3 linked regions of the Xenopus tropicalis genome follow. The protein of the gene in region 1 purifies or fractionates together with the protein of each later gene. This does not show direct contact. Links are inferred from orthologs where the notes say so. Each region holds a gene or a part of one and is shown in the gene's direction. Other genes may lie near its edges. The genes, in order: nup133, nup37 and ahctf1.

What was found.
Region 2: the proteins of nup133 (region 1) and nup37 purify together in Homo sapiens (affinity purification with mass spectrometry; 4 studies listed by BioGRID and IntAct, with this or other methods). This does not show direct contact. The link is inferred for Xenopus tropicalis from reciprocal best matches to the Homo sapiens genes NUP133 and NUP37.
Region 3: the proteins of nup133 (region 1) and ahctf1 purify together in Homo sapiens (affinity purification with western blotting; 3 studies listed by BioGRID, with this or other methods). This does not show direct contact. The link is inferred for Xenopus tropicalis from reciprocal best matches to the Homo sapiens genes NUP133 and AHCTF1.

What each region holds. Positions count from the first base shown.
Region 1 is NC_030679.2:125,105,826-125,110,010, forward strand, and holds the start of nup133 (nuclear pore complex protein Nup133), read left to right. Parts: upstream 1-1,385; 5' UTR 1,386-1,523; coding exon 1,524-4,185. UniProt on the Homo sapiens protein: Involved in poly(A)+ RNA transport. Involved in nephrogenesis.
Region 2 is NC_030679.2:49,128,908-49,133,311, reverse strand, and holds the start of nup37 (nucleoporin Nup37), read left to right. Parts: upstream 1-1,513; 5' UTR 1,514-1,545; intron 1,546-1,568; exon of another isoform or gene 1,569-1,712; coding exon of another isoform or gene 1,713-1,734; intron 1,735-3,464; coding exon of another isoform or gene 3,465-3,496; coding exon 3,497-3,652; intron 3,653-4,300; coding exon 4,301-4,404. UniProt on the Homo sapiens protein: Component of the Nup107-160 subcomplex of the nuclear pore complex (NPC). The Nup107-160 subcomplex is required for the assembly of a functional NPC.
Region 3 is NC_030681.2:51,310,894-51,314,616, forward strand, and holds part of ahctf1 (protein ELYS), read left to right. Parts: intron 1-103; coding exon 104-291; intron 292-2,361; coding exon 2,362-2,506; intron 2,507-2,596; coding exon 2,597-2,725; intron 2,726-2,808; coding exon 2,809-2,956; intron 2,957-3,047; coding exon 3,048-3,198; intron 3,199-3,723. UniProt on the Homo sapiens protein: Required for the assembly of a functional nuclear pore complex (NPC) on the surface of chromosomes as nuclei form at the end of mitosis. May initiate NPC assembly by binding to chromatin and recruiting the Nup107-160 subcomplex of the NPC.

The sequences.
Region 1 (4,185 bases):
ATCGCCGGGCCCCCTTTGAAAGTAAAAATTGCGGCCCTGCCTACGGCACACCAGGCAACATCTCGCGGCACACTAGTGTGCCACGGAACAGTGGTTGAAAAACGCTGATCTAGGGTGTGTTACTATATATTTTAATCTTTTCATTCTTCCTTTTCGCTTTACCAATTTTAAAAAATTATTTTAGCTGTGAACATAAATTAAAAGTTATATTTTAAGATTCTACAGGTGTGCCAAAAAAATTGTGTTCTTTTCATCTTTTGCTTTATATGTGACACACAATGGCCTTCCAGAGATTGTCTGTGTGGGCATGGAATTAAATATCGCACTATTATCAGCAGAGCTCGTGGTTTTCACTTACAGGTATCGGACCCCTTATCCGGAAACCCATTATCCAGAAAGTTCCGAATTACGGAAAGGCCATCTCCCATAGACTCCATTATAATCAAATAATTACCATTCTTAAAAATTATTCCCTTTTTCTCTGTAATAATAAAACAGTACCTTGTACTTGTTCCCAACTAATATATGATTAATCCTTATTGGAAGCAAAACAATCCTATTGGGTTTAATTACTGTTTAAATAATATTTTAGTAGACTTAAGGTAGGAAATCTGAATTACGGAAAACCCCAGGTCCCTACCATTCTGGATAATGGGCCCCATACCTGTAATAACAACTGCAACTCTGCACCTGGGCTACCAGGAATTAAGGATGCAAAATACACTATTTAATTTACATTTTCAGCCACTTACAGGAAAAAAATATCACACAAACTGCTCACTGCACAAAGTAATTGGATAACACTGAGACAGCAAGTACAATTTTTATTGTTACTGTAGGACGACCAAGCCAAAAGTAAATGTGCCAGTCAATGGTTATTACTGGTTGCTGCACTAAGAAACAATGGCAGACACTAATTCTTAGACTGAGGGGAAAAAACGACTTCCTTTTATCATTTTATAGATTGTAAGCTCTACGGGGCAGGGACCTCCTTCATCTTGTGTTTCTGACTCTTATTGCAACTGTACCTTGTATTTATTGTTATACTTTGTATTTATCCATTATCTTTAACCCCGTCTGTATTAATGAATTCTACTGCACAGCGCTGCGTACATAAGTAGCGCTTTATAAATAAAGATATACATACATACATACATACATGGGAAAGTTATAGGATCACCCCGTCTATTATCATCCACTGTACAATTTTTAGGGCTTTTGTTTCCTGTATTATTTGGTTCGGTTATTATTCTTCCATTGCTTAGCAAACTATTTGCATGAATCCCATTTTCTTCCTTGTAGGTCAAGAAAAATATAACTTGTTTAAAGAGCAAGTGGATTTGACGCAACCTGACTGACTGAACGATAACCCCTGGTTCCAACCAGTTGGCCAGTTGCAGCCTAACAGGCCGGGCCGTTGCTTATGACGTCACTAGCAGCGCGCCATTTCCTGCACTTCCTGAGACAACGCGGGTAGCGAGCGCTTTTCAAACTATCCCGACACAGCGGCTACCGGATCCAGCATGTTTCCGTCACCCCGTGCTCAGGGTGTGGGCTCAGCGCGGCGGCCGTTTAATGCCCGACTGACTGGCGGCAGGAAAGGCTTGGGTCCGGGAGTGAGCGCCAGTTCTTCCCCGTCGGCGCTGTACTCGCCTGTGGGTCGTAGAGTTTCCAGCAGTGGCGCCAGATCCACCCCGTCCCGCGTTTATCTCCACCCGGCCGCCTCTGAGACGGTGAATTACAATGTACAGCTGTTTGGTTCCTCCTTGCCAGTTAAAGTAATGGAGGCCCTGTCTAACTCCGGTGTAGACGAGCCCTTGGCTGCTCGCATCCATGAAGGCGGATGGGCATGGCTGGCGTGCAAGGATCGCCTGATCATTTGGAAGATAAGTCACTCCACCTCTGCTAAGTTAATGGTGTGCAAAGAACTGCCTCTTCCACTGAGTGACAGCGAATGGTCTGCTGATTTAGCGGATATTTGTGCCCACACGGGTGACTCTGCTGCTGGACAGGCAGTGGCATTAATGGCGGCCACTCCTGAAGGGTCAGCCCGCTACTGGCCTAACATTCTCCATGAGAGCAACTATATAGAGTCTTACGCTGACTTTGGCTCCTCTCTTTGTGCATTTGTTACAGCTGTAAAAGGCAACAGTTTCATCCTGTCTTCAGAAAAAAATCACCTTGTACGACTGACACCCGACGCGTCCGGAAAGATTAATCAACGTATTCTGCCGCAAGGTCAGGGCATGCTGTCCGGTATTGGCCGCAGGGTGTCCACGCTCTTTGGCATCTTGTCTCCTGCTGTTGAATCCACGCTCTGCAGTGTTCTCTGGGATAAGGGAGATTGCTTCTATACTCTCACAGACTCAAGTATAAACAAATGGGACTTGGATGATGCTTCGGAAAGTCACGTGCTTACCTGGGACATGACCAGAGTCCTAAGAGAAAACATATCTGATGCCATTTGGGGGTCTGAGAGCAACTATGATGATATAAAAAATGGAATTAACATTGATTATTTAAGTCTTAACCAGAACTGTGATGGTTTAGTCATCCTGGCTGCTGCCTGGCATCCTGGTGATAACCCCTGCCAGATATATTACACACTTGTAACCGTGAAAGACGAAGGTTATAATATTTCTGATGAAATTACAGTGGAAGTCACTCAGTTCAACCCTGTGTTTCAGTCTAGAGATATGCAGCTGTGCCAGCTTGTGATACCAAATTTTAGCAGCCAGGCCTGTTACTTGTATACCCAAGATATGGTCTTTGCATGTTCAACAGGAACTGGAAGGAGCACTTTGCCTCAAGAAAAGATTCCATTTGAAGCACAAGGAGATAATATTATAGGAGCTGGATCCTGTGAAGGTTGGCCAGTTTTTTTCATTAGAAAGAGTGGTATGCTGACCGTTGTTGCTAGAGAGACTGCTTCTGTGCTCCCAGAGCACATGGAAGAGTCACTGTTGTCCGTGTCTAAATCCAGCTCTCAGGCTGCAGTAAAGGACTCAACTTCAAGACCTGACCAGATTGCTCATGATGATAAGACCAAACTTCTGAAGGCCGCTTTTTTGAGATGTTGCAGGAAAGACATACTGGGGGCACAGAGCATGGTGGATAGCCTGTTCTCAGATTCAGACATGGGACCAGATGATGAACTGGATCAAGCAGTAAACCAAATAAGCGTCGATTTGATTGATGATTATCCTGCCTCTGATCCTCGTTGGGCTGAATCTGTCCCTGAAGAGGCAGCTGGATTTAGCAACACTTCTCTAATTCTCTTGCATCAGCTGGAAGATAAGATGAAAGCTCACTCCTTTTTTGTGGATTTCCTTCATCAAGTTGGACTTTTCAGTCGTTTGAGCACTTGTCAAGCAAAAGGAATGTTCGTAGCAACTCGACTGTTGCTGTGTGAGCATGCAGAGAAACTGTCTGCTGCAATTGTTTTAAAGAACCACCATGCTAAGCTCCCTGCCTTGGTTAACTCTGCCATACAACTTGCACTTGATAAAAGGATGTGCTCCATACCCCAGAATCTCACTGCCGCCGATGTCTACTTTAGAGAGGTATCCCAAATGGATATTATCTTTGAATGCCTGGTAGACAAAGAGGAAGCTGACTTGGAAAGTACTTCCATGGACTCAGTTGAATGGGCAAATATAGTTGTCAATATCAATACTATTCTGAAAGACATGCTACATGCTGCCTGTCAGTACAGACAAAGTAAAAATTCTCTCTATAAAAATGAAAGTGGAATGCAAGAGCCCGAGTATGTTCCCTGGACTGCTTCTAGTGGAATTGCAGGTATTAGGTCTGTTGTTACACGTCAGCATGGTGTAATATTGAAGATCTACCCACAAGCGGATAGCAGCCTTCGTACTATACTAATTGAGCAGCTTGCAGCCTTGCTAAACTACTTGCTTGATGATTATGTCATCCAACTAAAATCAGTTGATAAACGGACTAATCAAGAAAGATACAGTGTCCTGGAAATGGAGTATGCTCAGAAGCGGTCAGAACTTTTAGCTCCTTTGTTAAGCCTAGGACAGTATGCCTGGGCTTCAAATCTTGCTGAGAAGTACTGTGACTTTGATATCTTGGTGCAGATATGTGAAATGACTGATAATCAGAGCAGGCTGCAAAGGTACATGACTCTATTTTCAGATCAGAATTTTTCAGATTTTCTGT
Region 2 (4,404 bases), about 76 Mb from region 1:
ATTAGAATCAGCATAACTCATCTTCAAATTAGAAGTTTATAGGCTAATGATCTAAACAGAAATGCTTTTATCTGAAAGGATGCAACCTTCAGGTGATCCCATATTCTATTTGAGCAGTATATTTAGGTCCTTCAATGGTCAGGACAGTTTCAAAGTAAATTGCATTCCTGAGCACATCTCCAGAGCAAGTCTTATCAGCTACTGCACACTGTTTTATTGTTTACTGTCCTAGAGTCCAGCTTCAAGCACAACCCCCCTAAAACTCCCTTTTCGTTCCCAAGAACTCCCTTCTGCAGAGCCTTTTTCTATAACGTGTAATTGTAAGACAATATAAAAACCCCCCAATCCTTTGTCTAAGTATTCTTAGACTCTTGCTCAGAATCTGTGATAAATAAACTTTTTCTACCCCAAATGATATCCGGTATCTGAATTTCCATAACAGTAGCATATCTTAACCTGATGTGGTCACCCAAGTCTTTGGCCAAATCAGGCTACAGGACCATCAACCAGATAATATGAGATAGCCATGCATTGCTGCTTAGCCATCATGGCCTACATCCATTCTGGTACATTCCTTGTCTATAGGTATTTTCTTCAGGTAAATAAGGCTCTCCCTAAGTATGGGAAATATATATATATATATATACACACACACACACACACACTGGAACAAGGACAGCACTCAACGTTTCAGTCTTACACAGAAACCTTAATGGTCTCCAGATGGGTAATAAACCTTTCTATTTTTGCATTTACATTTTGCTCACAATTCTTTAAATCCTAGGAGTGCTGTCCTTGTTCCAGTGCATGTTTTTGGTACTACCACCCAGGTATGCACCCTATGGACAGATGACAGATGATAGATAGACAGATAGATAGATATTCTATGCAAAGAAAATCATAACACAAACACAACTCCCCTCACCCCACTACTTAAAAAAAAATAATTACACAAGTGAATATGTATAAACATTGCAAAGACTTAATAGAAAACAGGCCAGGGATGGGGCTGTTCCCGTTAGGACTACTAACCTTTAGCTGTCTGCCTACTGCTTCGCAGCAATATGTTGTGCCTGCAAAACATATATTTTTTTTTAAATGTGGCTTAATTACATAGAGGGTGAATGGTATGCTATATGTGTGGGGGGTTAAGAGAGAAGCAGCCATGGGGTCTAATGAAGAGAGAAGGAAATATTAAAATATTAGACAGGTGTAAAAAAAAAAAAAAAAAATTTAGTATAGAAGCAAAAAGTAGATAGTGTATGTACATCATACTTACTTGTGGGGGTTGAGACAGAACGAAGTTACCACCAGAAGACGCAGCTACTATTCTCTCTATCAAACAAAACAGCAGCTGTTTCTCCTTTCAAAAACCTCGTACGTTCGTGGGACTTTTAAATTTTCGTAGCGCCACAGAGTTGCCTAGATTCAGCCAATCAGCGTGCGCGACCTAGAGCCCCGGATATGATAGGTAGTAGGAAGGGGATTCGCTCGCTTTGAAAGAGAACTGCAAATCTACTGGCGGGAGCAGGGCAGGCTGGGTCGGTGTGTATTGGTGATACAGCGGGGTTTCTGCGGTTGCTGAGATAGTTATAACTACGGAATATGAAATGTTTTGGTTGTAGGGTACATGGTCTGCGTATATTGCCAAAACGCGGCGTGTATTAATGGTGGCGGGTGGCTTTGGTAGAATGCGATTTCACCCGCTGTAAATGTGTCAGGCGTTTGCCGTCTGTAAGTTGATCGTATACAGTTTGAGTGCTTGTTTGTAGTAGTAGTAGTAGTAGTAGTAGTAGTAGAAGTATGCGTGATGTATATATGTAGGTTCTTGTTTGTCGTATAGTAGAAGAACGATATATCAATTGAACAAACGGGTGTATGCACTATAAATAAAATAAATACACACTACACAAAATTAAAGACAAAAGGAGGTCCCTGCCCAGTCTAAGTAACTTTGTTACAGTGGTTGTTCGCTTTAACTACTAGTATGATGTAGATCGTGCTCTGAGACAGTTTGCAGTTGGTCTTCATTTTTAATTGTAGTTTTTAAATTATATAGCTTTTTCTTAAGCAGCTCTCCAGCAAGTTCAGCATCAGTCTGGTTGCTAGGGCCCAATTTAACCTAGCAACCAGGCAGTAGTTTGAAAGACACAGGAATATGAATAGAGGAGGCTCGGAATAGAAAGAAAAAGTAACCATAAAACTGTGTCCTCAGCTTTTTGGAACCACCCCTTTAAAGCAATACTGAAATGTTTCCATAAAAATCCATTGGAATGTGTCCGTATTACTAACGAGTTGCAGAACCAAAAACCTTCTGCCAAAAGCCCACTAACACTGGCCCCAGCGCAGCAATAATTTACCTGAGGTGACACTCCAACATGGCTACAGATTCCTTTGCAGTTGTGTCAGTCATGCTGGGCTAAGTGTGGCTTGATCCTTCCATAGGCAGTTTTTATTTGTAATTAGCCCGTGGAAACTTTGCGTGACAGAGAGCCTTACGGATTCTTCTATCTGTCTCCTTCCTGGGCTGGAGGTGGTGCATTCCTTGGGGACTTTTGGCCATAAATACGTTGGTGCTGCAACTCTTCAGTAATAGTGACATGTTTTCTAGGAATGTGTCAGTAGTATTTTAAAGCGACCATAAAACTTTTTTGTGTATATCTAGCTCTACGAGGGCATGGACCTCCTTACTGCTGTGTCTTTTAGAATTTACATTGTACTGCGCTGCATTACTGCATTTTCATGTATTCATGTAGCACTTCATAAATACAAAATTTATAAACATACATACATATGCTCAACATAGAACTGCCCCAAGTATTATGCATTTCAAAAATACACTGACCAAGGGCCTACGCAATTTTGGAAACTGATAAGTGCAAACTGATCTATCAGCAAGTTTAAGGGCTCTGGCACACTAAGTAAGTCGCTGGTGGGCAAATTTCGGCAAATCGCCTGCGCAGCGTGTGCCATCCCACCGGCGACTTACATTTTCGCCTGTGGGATGGTAGTTCGGGGAGATTAGTCGCCTGTGACAAGGGAGATTTGTCGCGGGCGACTAATCTCCCCGTGTGCCAGAGCCCTAACAGCTGGAAAGGGTCTTTTTTTTTTTGCACTTTTTCTTTCATTAAAAGGGAGTCTCCATCTGCTCTGCTCCGTCTAAGGTCCTTATCAGGGTCAGGGTTAGCAAGAGCCATGCTGTCGCTGACTGTTTTTAGTGTGTTGAAGCAAACCAGAGTACACAGAAGAAACCCTGCACAAAGGAGAGAAAACACTACTTCTTCTTGCAGAGAATGCCCAAGCTGGAATTAACCTCATGTGCACACTTGAGAACACATGTGACTACAGCCATCACAGTAACACCTGTGTTGTAAAAAATGGCTTAATAAGGGTGCAAAAACTGTACCCTTTTAATATAGCATAGATCTATACATAAAATTTGAAGATTTTCTTTTTCCTTTTAGCACTTTTAGAAATAAGAAAACAGAAGCAGACTATGAAGCAAGATTCAACAAGTAATGCCACCTACACAGTGGACTGTGAAGATTATGTGCATGTAGTAGAATTTAATCCCTTTGACTCTGGGGAGGCAGGCTCTTTACTAGCTTATGGTGGAATTAGTTATGTCGTTATTGCATCTTGCAGGTTTCAGGTATGTACATGCCAATTATTTTTTCATTTAGTGGCTGATTTAGGGTAAAATTGTAGGTGTGTACATTTTTTTTACTCCAGGCCATTGTGAGAGTCATATGGAATCACTTGGAAACATCGGTTGATAAATGAAAAACTTTTTAATGTTGTGAAACATATATGTAAATTACTATTATGGAGTCAGCATTGACTACAGCAATTTTCCTAGTAGATAATCCACTTCACATTAGGGGGGCAGGGTATGCCTTTTTAGAACAGATAATATTAAGCCTAATGATCCTGATTCTGTCTTTTAAGTATAATCGCCGTTGGAAAGGCTTTTGCATCTCTTTGGTTCTCCAAAGTCGTGCAAAGTTTCCAGCTGTAGGCAATTTTGGAAAGCTGAAGAGATGTGTAGACTTTTCCACTGGACTATAACCTTTGTTTCTGGTGGAAAGGCGAAAAAAAGTGTTTTGGGACCCAGTGCTCCATTGTAAACTACAACTTCTTATAGTTATACTTAACATATATAATTTTAAAGAAGAAGAACCACTATATTTTGCTTGAATTCTTAACACAAAGGGCATCATAACTGTTGTATGGAACTGCACTAATATCCAGCCTACTAATATACTCATACCTGTGCCTATACGTGATATTTCATTTTTAGGAAGAAGATTCTGCTGTAGAAGGAATAGAGTTTAAGACCCTAAAAACCTTCCATCATGGAGAAAGAGTGGTTGCTATAGCCTGGAGTCCAGAAACACGATGTGA
Region 3 (3,723 bases), on another chromosome or scaffold:
ATATATACTATCTGTTTTAGTGTTCTGTGGGAAATACTAGTAAATCCTGTTGGCACTAATGCTGGTACTTTTTTTTTTTTTTTTTTTTTGTACTTTTTATTAGAACTCAATAGACTGTATACTTAATCCTGCAGCAAGTCGTGTTATGTCATGGCAGCACTCACAAATCATTGAAACTTTGATGTGCCAAGGAGATCAGAGACAGGCTCTTAGGTATATACAAGTGATGAAACCTGTAGCAGCCACCAGCAGAGAGGTTAAACTACATATGACTGTGCTGCTTGCAAACAGGTAAGAAAATGTTAATGTGATGCCTTACGGCAGCGGTCCCCAAACTTTTTTTTTTTTTTAACCTGTGAGCCACCTTAAACTGTAAAAAGATGTGGAGAGCAACAGTGTGCATGATATGAACTCCAGGGGATACTTAGGGCAGATAGGGTTAATAATCCCTTTCAGTCAGGCAATTGAGTGGCTGCTGAGCGAGGAGCTGCCTGTGGAATTAAAAGGGGTGTGCTCTTAAGCCTATGGGCTCTTTGGTTGTCTGGGGGAGACAGGGCTTTCCTGTGTGTTTTAAAGGAGAGGCATTGTCCTGGTTGTTCCTAGTGTGTGAATGGAAACCTGAGGATCATGGAGACTGAGACACAGGGAATATCTGACAGGGAGAGAATGCTTGAAATAGAAAGTGAGTACCAAAGGGCCTCTGACCCTGGAGAAAGGCAGCTTTTGGAGAAAGAACAACAGTTCCTAGGTGCTATGATTGTTTTTTTTATAGCATGTAGATTGGCAGGCTATAGGGGCTCCTTGTTTTTATGCAACCAAAACTTGCCTCCAAGCAGGGAATTAAAAAATAAGCACTTGCTATGTTGCCACTGGGAGCAGCATCCAAAGGGTTATTGAGCAACATTTTTCTCAGGAGCCACTGGTTGGGTATTGCTATTTTAAGGCAATGCAATTGAAATTCCACATCTTTAAAGGAGAAGGAAAGGCTAATGAAGAGTTAATCTCAAGCTGCAGGCATACCTTCAGTTGTCTCAATAGTGCCCTTAAATCTCCTCATATTTCACCTGTGTAAAGAAAGTTCCCATAATGCCTCACTCCTAGACCGAGACCAAGTGTGCATGCTCAGTTTGTAAGACTGAGTCATCTTCCTGCTGATTGGCTCAGATCCACATTCCCAAGTGTGGGGAGTGAGTTCTTAGCATTCTTGAGAGAGGGGGGAGCAGGAGAGGGGAGAAAGCAGAGAGCTGCGTGTCTCTGGCACATGAATTACAGGTACAAGAAATCTTTTTTCAGAGAAGTGAGTGCTTATGGCTGTATTTACATAGACCTTTCTGATAAAGCTTACTTAGTTTTTACCTTTCTTTCTCCTTTAAAAGCCCACTATACCTTAATCTTATTCGCCTAATGTGTTTTTTAATGGTTCCATTTATAGTGGTTCTCTGCTTGCTTTGTTATCGTATGCTTTCATTTATGTGTTACTCAGTTTGGAGCTTTGTGTAAGCCTGCTGGCTGCCCGAGTGTCATAAACCAACCGGTATATCCCATTATCAGGTCTTTTTTCATCTTGTAGCAGCTAGACTTTGGCCCAGGGCATTTAAACCCGTAATTTAAAGTCTAAAGACTTTTAGACACTACATGGAATTAGTTCTTAGACTTTAAATTACGGGTTTAAATGCCCTGGGCCAAAGCCAAAACAAGAACTAACTTACAAGGTGTCAGTACTTAGCAGTGACACCTTGTAAGTGAGTCCTTGTTACAGTCGCTTAATGCTTTTTCTTTTAGCTAACTTTACAAGCGCCTTGTCGTCGTATATCTGAACTCTAGCTTTCCTTCACTTCCTGCCTCAGTTAAGGCAGTGTTGCAGTGGCTTCCTAGTATACTTTTGGTCCCTTTCTGTGGATTTTGCATTCTCATTTAACAAAAAAATTCCATGGTAACATATTGACATAAGAAGCCTTGTTTGTCTACATATTTGTGTTTGTTCATGTAAGTTGAAGCAGCCTTTATGAGTAGGTTATTTTATTTATATAGAGAATATGTTGTTCGGTACGGAGTATCGTGAATATCAGAATGCTTGAGAAGCAAGAGATTTGTGAGTGGGGTAGAGCCAGTAGAAGCTGAGGTTCTCAAGATAGACCAAACATGCCCTTTTCAGTATACATGCAAAGGCTGAAGGAAGTTGAACAGCAGAGTGTCGGATGTAATGGAAGCTTTGCTCGCGAGGGGGGATGGGGATTGGAGTTTCAGATAAGCTATGCATAATTTCTGTCTTCTATTCGATGGTATATTGTGATATTGTCTCATTTGTATACTCTGTACGCAAATGTGATGACAATAAAGCTTGACTTGATATGCTTACAGGTCTATTTTGGAAGCCTGGAACTTGCAGAGACTGCATTCTAGTCGTCTGAATGTAGAAGAATTGCTCAAACACATGTATGAAACATGTCAAGAAATGGGGCTAATTGAAGAATTACTAAAGCTAACATTTACAGATTTTGAGCAAGTAAGTGAATAGAAAACTGACTAAATGTATCAGACTGCCACTAAGTAGCACATCTGAAAGACTATTTTCTCTAAAACTTTTCAATTTTAGGACTATTTGCACAAGTTCTTGCAGACTACCGGTGTACAAAATCAGGAGCTGCTATTGGTGCACCATCTACAACGAGCAAATTATATACCAGCCTTGCAGCTAAACCAGTCATTGAAAACAAACCACTTGGTAAATCTAAGTACACTTTATTTAGGTATCTTTTAATTTATACAATTTATAAAATGTAACCACTCCCCCCTCCTTTGGAGCAGAATGATTGTGACCGGCGATTGCGTGAGAGATCTGTGGCAAGAAATGCTATTCTGGATCAGTATGGAAAAATACTGCCAAGAGTCCAGCGAACTCTTGCAAGCGAAAGAGCCAAACCCTACTCATTACCATCGCTAGTGTGGAGAGAAGGTATATATATTTCTTTCTCCTAATTATCAAAGTTCAGTAAAATACTTTTTCTTGGCAAAATATAATTAACCTCACTCTTTTTTACTTCTAGTTGCTAGACCAAAGCCTTTATCAACTACTGCAAAGCAGGCTGCTCCTGGAAGTATAATAACCAAAGCAAACTTTATTTGCAATGTTCTGTCAAAAATTAAAGAAGTTTCTACTGCAAATGAAAAAAGGGAAGAATTTTCACCTTACAAAAGGTAAGCCCAGTGCAATTTCATCATTCCTTTTTCAGCATGGAATATGATTTAAATAGCCCCGTTACCCTATGAAATGAAAGGATTGATTGAACGGATTTGCAGGCAATGCATCACCGTTGCAGCTTCTTTCATAAACATCTAAGACTTGATGTTGTGATTTTTACTGGCTGACATCAGCTTTACTGACCACTATCCATTTATGGAACATATGGGAACCATGACAAGTAGAAGCAGTTTTTTGCCTGCACATATTCAAGCTTCCAGTATGGTTTGAATAATTTAATCATAGTAAGAATGTTGACTCAGGTACACTTAATAGATTAAAAAGCAGGGTATTCCTATTACCCTGGCTTTCTTTCAGGGTTGTGCACTGCTTAGGGTAACAAGTGTTAGGGTAACATGTTTACTGTTACCCTCATTATGTTGTTCAGGTATGGGATCTGTTATCCAGAAACCCATTATCTAGAAAGCTTAGCGTTACGGGAAGGCAGTACCCCACAGAATCCATTCTAAGCAAATAATTTA